Linked DNA regions of Alligator mississippiensis. Each later gene encodes a partner of the first gene's protein in a complex. Links are inferred from orthologs where the notes say so. Each region holds a gene or a part of one and is shown on either strand. Other genes may lie near its edges.

Evidence for each region.
Region 2: the proteins of SYMPK (region 1) and SSU72 are in contact, whole or in part, in a crystal structure (PDB 4H3K), measured with the Homo sapiens proteins. The link is inferred for Alligator mississippiensis from reciprocal best matches to the Homo sapiens genes SYMPK and SSU72. Residues at the interface, in NP_004810.2 of Homo sapiens: Val123, Lys127, Leu131, Gln135, Asp175, Asn176, Asp177, Gly178, Thr181, His182, Lys185, Glu188, Pro204, Arg205, Arg206, Gln207, Ser250, Ile251, Thr254, Thr255, Asn262, Ala290, Ser292, Gln293, Ser295, Ser296, Lys299, Asn300, Leu303, His304; in NP_054907.1 of Homo sapiens: Glu113, Tyr116, Asp117, Val120, Asn124, Glu127, Gln128, Glu129, Thr130, Cys131, Gln132, Pro133, His135, Asp167, Glu169, Asn170, Asp173, Gln177, Glu180, Thr186, Phe187, Leu188, His189, Thr190, Val191, Phe193.

Annotation. Positions count from the first base shown.
Region 1 is NC_081838.1:442,630-446,529, reverse strand, and holds the start of SYMPK (symplekin), read left to right. Parts: upstream 1-813; 5' UTR 814-828; coding exon 829-987; intron 988-1,189; coding exon 1,190-1,342; intron 1,343-1,827; coding exon 1,828-1,893; intron 1,894-2,148; coding exon 2,149-2,202; intron 2,203-2,480; coding exon 2,481-2,554; intron 2,555-3,654; coding exon 3,655-3,781; intron 3,782-3,900. UniProt on the Homo sapiens protein: Scaffold protein that functions as a component of a multimolecular complex involved in histone mRNA 3'-end processing. Specific component of the tight junction (TJ) plaque, but might not be an exclusively junctional component. May have a house-keeping rule.
Region 2 is NC_081836.1:7,424,234-7,428,133, forward strand, and holds the start of SSU72 (RNA polymerase II subunit A C-terminal domain phosphatase SSU72), read left to right. Parts: upstream 1-1,673; 5' UTR 1,674-1,784; coding exon 1,785-1,864; intron 1,865-3,900. Other genes in the region: actin-related protein T2, read left to right, coding at 1-450. UniProt on the Homo sapiens protein: Protein phosphatase that catalyzes the dephosphorylation of the C-terminal domain of RNA polymerase II. Plays a role in RNA processing and termination. Plays a role in pre-mRNA polyadenylation via its interaction with SYMPK.

The DNA.
Region 1 (3,900 bases):
CCCCCCAGCTCCTGCCTGCTTGCTCCGCCCTGGGGCAGGGCAGTCTGGGGCCTGCTCCCCCTCTCCCAGCACAAGGTGAGGGTGCCCCCACCTGGGCCAAGCTTACACCGACCCCGCCCACACAGGCCACAGAAAGGGGAAACTGAGGCACGGGGCGAGAGGCCTCTCGGTCCCACAGGACCCTGCGGCGGTGCCGCTCACAGAACCCGGGCGTCCGGGCTCTCGACATCACCCCTCTCGCGGCCGCGGGGGGACCCGGGTGCCCGGGCCCCCTTCCCCTGTGGTGGGCGGCGCTCGCGGTGGGTTGGGGAGCCGCGCCCCCAGCCCTGGGGCGGCCCCAGGCCCCGGGGGGCGGGAGGCACCTTTCCCCCACTGTGCCCCAGCAGACGCCAGGCGTGGACTTTGCCCGGAGCCGGGACATGACAGCTGTGTTTGCCGCCGGCGGGAGCAGCCGAGGGCCAAGGCCTGGAGACAACGCGGCGCTGGGGCGAGGGCTGCCAGGGAGGGGGCGTGCGCGGGAGTGCGTCCAGCAGACGTGTCTACACCCGAGTGCACGCGTGTGCCAGCCATGAAATCCCACCCTGCGTGGGGGGGTGCACACGTGTGCGTGATTGTGCGTGTGCCACGGGAGGGGCTCGTGTGTCACGGGGCGGGGGATGTGCAGGAGTCTACGTGTGCCACCGGAGGGGCTGGCGGCAGGAGAGGCACTGGGGTCAGGGGTCAAGGCTAGGGTGAGAACGCATCAAAGTGGGGGGAGGGTGTCCAAGCCAATCGCGGCAGGGGAAGACGGGGGTCAAAGGGCACCTCCGTGACCCCGCAGTTCCGCGGATGACGGATCCCAGCATGCAGCGCGGCGGGGCAAAGGAGCGAGCGGGAAGACTACATTTCCCAGGAGGCAGCGCGGCGCGCGCCTGCGCAGTGTGTGTGGGCCGGGCCGGAAGATGGCGGCGGGAGGCGGCGCTGGGCGCGAGGGCGCGTGAGGTGGAGGTGGGGGCAGGGGCAGGGGCAGGGGGCTGCGGCCTGGGGGGCGAGAGTGTGGAGTGGGGGGCTGGGCTGGGGTTGGGGGCATAGTGGGGGCAGGGGCAGCCCCGGGTTGGGGGAGGGGGGCCTTGGGGGGTCAGGCCTGGGCTCCACCGCGGGCGCGGGGTCTCGGGGCAAGGGCCAGGCACTAATTGGTTTGGTTCATTAGCAGCTTCAGCTGAGAGGCTCGCAGGGCCAGCCCCGCGCCATGGCCAGCACCAGCAGCTCTGGGGACGGTGCCACGGCCCGCATGAGCGTGGCCTCGCAGTTCTTCACGCAGGAGGAGGGCAGCGGCATCGACAGCACCACCACCTCGGAGCGGGTGCGCGGCCGCGGGCTCCGGCTCCGGCTCGGTGCCTCCCTGACGCCTGCGGCTGGGCCCCGCGGCCTGCTCTGCCGGGGGCCTGTGCCAGCCAGCCGGACTCCCGGCCTACGCACGGGCAGCTCCGGGTGCGCCGGGCCCGCTCCCGTGGGCTCCGATACGATCCCCGGCAGCGTGGGACTGCGGCAGCCCGTGTGGGCGACAGTCGGCCCCCCGACCTGGGGGACCTGGGCACGCGTGCAGTCTGCCCCCCTTCCTGCCCGGCCACAGGGGTGCAGGACACGTGGTGTCAGGGCCCGGTGTCTACGTGCCCGTGCACGGTGCTGCGTGGAGCCCTTGCTGTTCTGCTGCTGCCAGCACCCACGACGGGGGAGGCGCAGGGTCATTCCCCCAGGCGAGGGCGGGGTGGGTGTGCAAGCCCCCAGCTTTGAGGTGGCAGGAGGGCTTCTGGGTGCCCGGGACTCACCTGCCCCTGTCCCTGGCAGGTCGTGGATCTGCTGAACCAGGCCGCCCTCATTGGCAATGACTCCAAGATCAGCATCCTCAAGCAGGTGTGTGGAGAGCCGCCCCGGCCTGGGGGACAAGAGCCCGGGGTCTCAACCTGGGGGTGAGGGGGGTCTCGTATTCCTTCTCCTGAAGATGCCCCCCCCTTCCTTGGCTCTAGTCCTAGGCCTTCTCCCGGACTGGAAGGCCCCAGCCCATCATGGCAGACCCGTGTGCAGTGGGGGAGTGGGTGGCACTGGTGCCTGCCCCAGCTGGCTGTATAACGCCCCCCACTGTCCCTGTCCCCATCCCCCTCCCTACAGGTCCAGGAGCTCATCATCAACAAGGACCCCACATTGCTGGACAACTTCCTGGACGTGAGTCGCCAGGCACCCTGGGCAGGCCTGAGGAGCCTGGCGTGTCCATGCCCCATGGCCCCATCACCGCTGTGTGTTTGCGGGGGGTACCACGGGGGTCCAGCTATCGCCAGTCTGCCCTGCAACTGTCCCGGGGTTGTGGGGTGTCTGCCCAGCACAGAGCTGGCAGCTCGGCCCTTTGCCCCCTCTCCCCCACATGGTGCGGCCCTGCTGGGCAGCTCTGGGCACCCCCCCGCGTGCCACCAACAGCCCCCCCCTGCACCCTCCCCCCCGCGCAGGAGATCATCGCCTTCCAGGCTGACAAGTCCGTGGAGGTGCGCAAGTTCGTCGTGGGCTTCATCGAGGAGGCTTGGTAAGGGACGAGTGGCACTGGACTGGGGGACCCAGGCTGCGATTCCCCTGGGAATTCAGCCAGGAAGCTAGCAGTCTGGGCTTGGAGGTTGGCATGCTCGTTAGTGACGGCAGTGGAGGTGGAGGAGGGGAGGTGCTGCTAAGACCCCAGCTCTGCATGGGCAGTGAGGGCAGGGGGCTAGGGACATGTCTGGGGAGAGAGCAGGTGGCTTGGGAGCCTGGATTCCTGGCTCAGCCTCAGCCTTCAAGCACCACATGCCTCAGTTTCCATCCAAGTCCCAGGGGTCTAGGGGGAAGCTGCTGTGAGGCTGGTTAATCCTAGAGCACTGGGGGTGGATGGAACCCCCCTGAGGTCACATTTAGTCCAAGCCCTGGTCTGAGGCAGGATCAGCCCCGTCCAAGCCAGCCCAGACAAACCCAGCATCGGACCTCGGAGCAACACAGCCGTCAGCATGGACCTCACCCCCACCCCTGACCTCAGGAAAGCAGGAGGGGCTGTGGCTGCCAACATCCTGCTGCCTCCAGGGGGTCATGGATGCTACAGAGCCGAGGTCGAGGCTGTGCCCCTGCTTCAGGGGAAGGCAAAAACCCCCAGTGCGAACTGGTCTGAGCAGGAGGGTAATCTCTTCCTGCCCCAGTGCAGCGTGGGGCTGAGCCTGAGTGCAGGGGCAAGACTCTCCAGCCAGGACCCTGTGGGGATGGTGCCGGCAGGAACATTGGCACAGCCCAGTCCCCAGCCCTGCACCCAGCACCTCCGGGTGGGGGGGCTTAAAAACCCCGTGACACCTAGAGCAACAACAGGAAGGGGGTTAAGTGCCCTCCCAGCCCCTTGCAACAATCAGCAGAGCCCAGAAGCCTGGGACATCCCCAGAGCAGAGCATGGGCATCACTCTGCCTGGATCACCCCACACCAGCAGCTGCCCCCCCCACAAAGCCCTGCAGTGACTGAGTGTCCCTCCTGTCCTGGCGCCTGTCCCCTGCCTCCCTGCTCGGACACTGCCCAAGTTTTTCCTGAGGTCCAGGCTCACCCTGCTACCTGCAGGAGGGCAGTTGTAGGCACTGACGCCTCCCCCCCCACCCCCCCAACCTGCCACCCCTCAGCAAGCGTGACATTGAGCTGCTGCTGAAGCTCATCGCCAACCTGAACATGCTGCTGAAGGATGAGAACGTGAACGTGGTGAAGAAGGCCATCCTCACCATGACCCAGCTCTACAAGGTGGCACTGCAGGTATGGCCATTGTAGGGTGCTGCTGATTGGGGGGAGTGGGATTTGTCTGGGGGGGGGTCTCCTAGCAGGGGGTGCTGGGGGGCAGGATCTGCCTGGGCAGGGGGGTCCTCTCAATGTTG
Region 2 (3,900 bases), on another chromosome or scaffold:
CAAGAAATGAAGAGAAGGCCAGAGGAGGTCCTTCGAGATTATAAACTCCCGGATGGAAATACTGTCAGAATTGGTCTTCATCTTTGCAGAGCACCAGAAATCCTTTTCATGCCCATCACCCTTGGCATTGATACACCGGGGATTCACACCATGATTTCCAACAGCATTAAGAAGTGTGATCAGGATATTTGCCGCCATCTCTATGGGAATGTGGTGCTGACCGGGGGCTCGTCCCTTCTCCAGGGACTAGATGAGAGGGTCTTTAAAGAGATAGAGCAGCAAGCCCCTAAAGGAGTTCCTGTTAGGATTGTAGCAACTCCTCACAGGAGATGCTCTGCATGGATGGGTGCCTCCATTATCAGTTATCTGGCCTCCTTCGTGTCAATGTGGGTCACTGCCGGGGAATACGGGGAATTTGGACCCCCTGTGGTCCACAGAAAGTGCTTTTAAGAGGCCAGAAAAGAAGGGCCATTGAGAATTGTATTGAAGTGCTGAGGGCAGAAAGTCTAATTTCTCTGGGCGATGGTGATGGAATAAAAGAGAAGAAATGGGCAATACGTGCAGCCTGCGTGTGTGTCTTGCAAAGGCGCCTGATGACTTTGGGAGTCATCCATTACAATACAGGAGATCAAGTCACCTACTGCAATGACGGCTGCGGCCAAGGAGGGAATTAACTCCCCGCAGGTGACCTGTGCTTTGTGCAGTCGCCTGCACCTGCGCAGAGAGGTCTGATGCTCCTGGTTCAGGGGGGCCACTGTAAATCCCCCGCGAGATGCAGCACCAGGCCTCTGCTCCCGAAGGATGCCACTTCAATAGGGCAGCGTTTCTCAACCCGTGGGTCACGACCCAAAAGTGGGTCGCGAGAATATATGAAAGGGTCATGAACATTTTAAAAGAGAAAAAGGTGGGGAACCGCGGCTTTTCTCTTGCAGGCTGGCAGAGATCCTGCCTGGGAGGGGCTGCTTGGGGGCTCCCCCGATCCACACACCCACCCCTGCCCCACACACAAGGGGCAGCGGGCCAGAAGCCATGCTGGGTTATGACATGTCCATCTTAAGAGGCCCCATACGATAAAAATAATCCATGAAAATGGGTTTTAATGACATTTTAAGATGAATTATTATTATTTCTGCACAAATGGATGAACTTGATATGAATAATAATTGTAGAGCCATATATATATGTCTATTTTTGTCACAGAATGAAAATGTTCAGGTTTTTTTTCTTATTTAAGGTGTAAGCCTTAGCCAGTGCTGGTCACAAATGGGTCCTGGTACAGAGGAGGTTGAGATCTGCTGCTGAGGCAGCTATGTAGGGCCAGTGGTGCATGTGACACCCTCCCCCTTCCAGTTTGCAGAAGCTCAGATAGGGTCCCAAGGCCCTTAAAGGCCAGGCTGAAATGGAGCAAACGCCCTGTTGCCTCCCCTGGGATTCGACCCTGCGGTCCCCAGCTCTAGCCCCTTCCCCTGAGCCACGTGCGAAGCACAGGACCTCCCCACCCTCCGCCACTAGGGCGGCGCTCGCTCTCAGCGCCGAGGCGGACTCTCTTCGCTTCCTCCAATCTCTATGGCTGGAGGACTTACCCCCGGGCGGCGCTCTCTCCTGCGCTCCGCTCTCGACGGTCCTCGCCGGCGTCCGCTCTACGTCGCGCTCTCGCTGGTGCGGGGCGGGTGACGCCCGCCGAGGGGCCGCGGCCGCCATTTTGTGCGAGCACCAGGCGGAGCCGGACGGGCCCGAGCGCTGCGGGACGGAGCGGACGGAGCCGGGCCTCTCCCCGCGCCGCCATGCCCTCCTCGCCGCTCCGTGTCGCCGTGGTCTGCTCCAGCAACCAGAACCGCAGCATGGAGGCGCACAACATCCTCAGGTACCGCCGCCGCGCCCGGGCCTGGCCGGGCCTGCCCCCCCCGCACCCCGCGGGCTTCCCTGGGCCTCGGCATGGAGCCTGCCCGGGCCCCTAAAATATCCTAGACCCCCCCAAATCATAGGGTGGGAGGGAGCTCTAAAATGGCTTTAACCCCCCCCCCTCCCCAATTATAGGGTGGGCGAGGTGAGGCCTGGAGTCTGCCCAGGCATTTAAGGGGGTCCCTAAAACGGATTTAACCCCCCCCCCCAATCATTGGGGGGTGGAGCGAGTGCTGGAGCCTGCTCAGGCACTTAAGGGGACTCTAAAATGGTGTAGCCCCCCTCCCCAAATTGCAGGGTGGGGGGCCCTAAGATGGTGTTAATTCCTCCAAATGGTAGGGTGGGCAGGATGAGCCCTGGAGCCTGCCCAGGCATTTAAGGGGTGCCTTAAAACAACATTAACCCCCCCAAAATTATAGGGTGGGTGGGATGAGCCCTGGAGCCTGCTCAGACACTTAAGGGGACCCCCTAAGATGGCCTTGACCCCCCCCCAAACCATAGGGCAGGTGGGGGGAGTGCTGGAGCCTGCTCAGGCACTTAAGGGAGCCTCTAAAATGGCCTGATTTCCCCCCCCCCTCCCCCCTTCCTTTCAAATCCTAGGGTGGGTGGGATGAGGCCTGGAGTCTGCCCAGGTGTTTGTAAGGGGTTTTTTTTTTACCCCCCCTCCCCTTTGCAGGGGGCAGCTGGCAGGGCCTCCTCTGCACCCGGCCGGCTCAGGCCCGGACGTGTTTTCCACTCTGAACCCGGTGGAAAGAAGGGGGAAAAAGTGAACAGCCAGAAAGTGTGTTGCTGAGTGTCCCCCGGGGCAGGGCAGGTCTGGGCTCGGCGCTCACCGTGGGAGAAGGGGGATCTTGGTGTTGGAAAGGAGAAGCCGGGGGGGTACGCTGGGTGCGGGCAGCCATCTTGGTGCAGGGCAGCTGGCGACGCTGGTGCAGGCTGAACTCAGACAATAGTAGCATGAGAAACACCTCTGCTGCTGCTGCTTGGGCATCAAGGCCACGTCCTCTTGACTAAAAGCAAATAGCCTGTTTTGTTAAACTGGCTGGCTTTTAACACCTGGCTGTGGGCTTGCTCCTACTTCTCTGAGCTCTTCCAGCGTAGCAGGCAGGGTCGATTGGCACGTCATAGACAAACGGAAGTAGACAGCACCAGCTTTCTTCAACTGGGATGGCAGAGTAAACATGAAGTTACTGTCAGCTGACCAGTGCTTTGCAGTTTCTGTGTAGTCAGTTGCACAAAGAAATGTGCTAAAACATGAATCTTTTAAAAGAAGAAGGAAAAGGGAGAATATTCCTTCCGCTCTTAGATTTTTGAAAATAAGCTTATGGGAAAAAAAACTAGTGCACACAGTTAACTCCTTAAAATCGGTATTAAGCGGTTACAGTCCAAATAAATCTCTTTAAAAAAAAAAAAAAAAATGGGGTGGGGGGAGTTCCTTGTCTTCTCAGCTCAGATAAATTAGATCAGTCACTTTTTTTTTTTTTTTTTTTTTACTTTCAACTTATGACATTCTGCTTGTTACTGGCTTACATAGTGGATAACAGTTATTTTCCAAGACTTCAGTTTGTGGTTGTAAAATAACAACTCGGGGGAAATCATATTAGGTCATCCAAGCCATCTTGCCAATTTAGCCTTACGCCATATGTAACTCATCTTTCTAAAGTACAGTGCTGTTAAAATATTGCAGCAAACCATGCATGGAGATATTTAATGTAAACAGAGCTGTTACAGAAGTTTAAATTACCATGCTAAGGTGGAAAGGTGACTTTTATAAAACCACAGGACAGTGGCCCTCTAAAAAAATCAGCATTGTGTTAAAATCCATTCTAAAAATGTAACTTTGAACAGCTTTTTAAAATGTAATGCTTGCAGGTGTGGGGGAGTGGAAGGGTGGGGTGTGTGTCTAAAACTGTTGCATCCCATAGTTTATTTAAAAATTACTTTGTTTTGGAAACATAATAAACTCCATCTTTGCCAAGGGGCTTTGCTATAGTACTG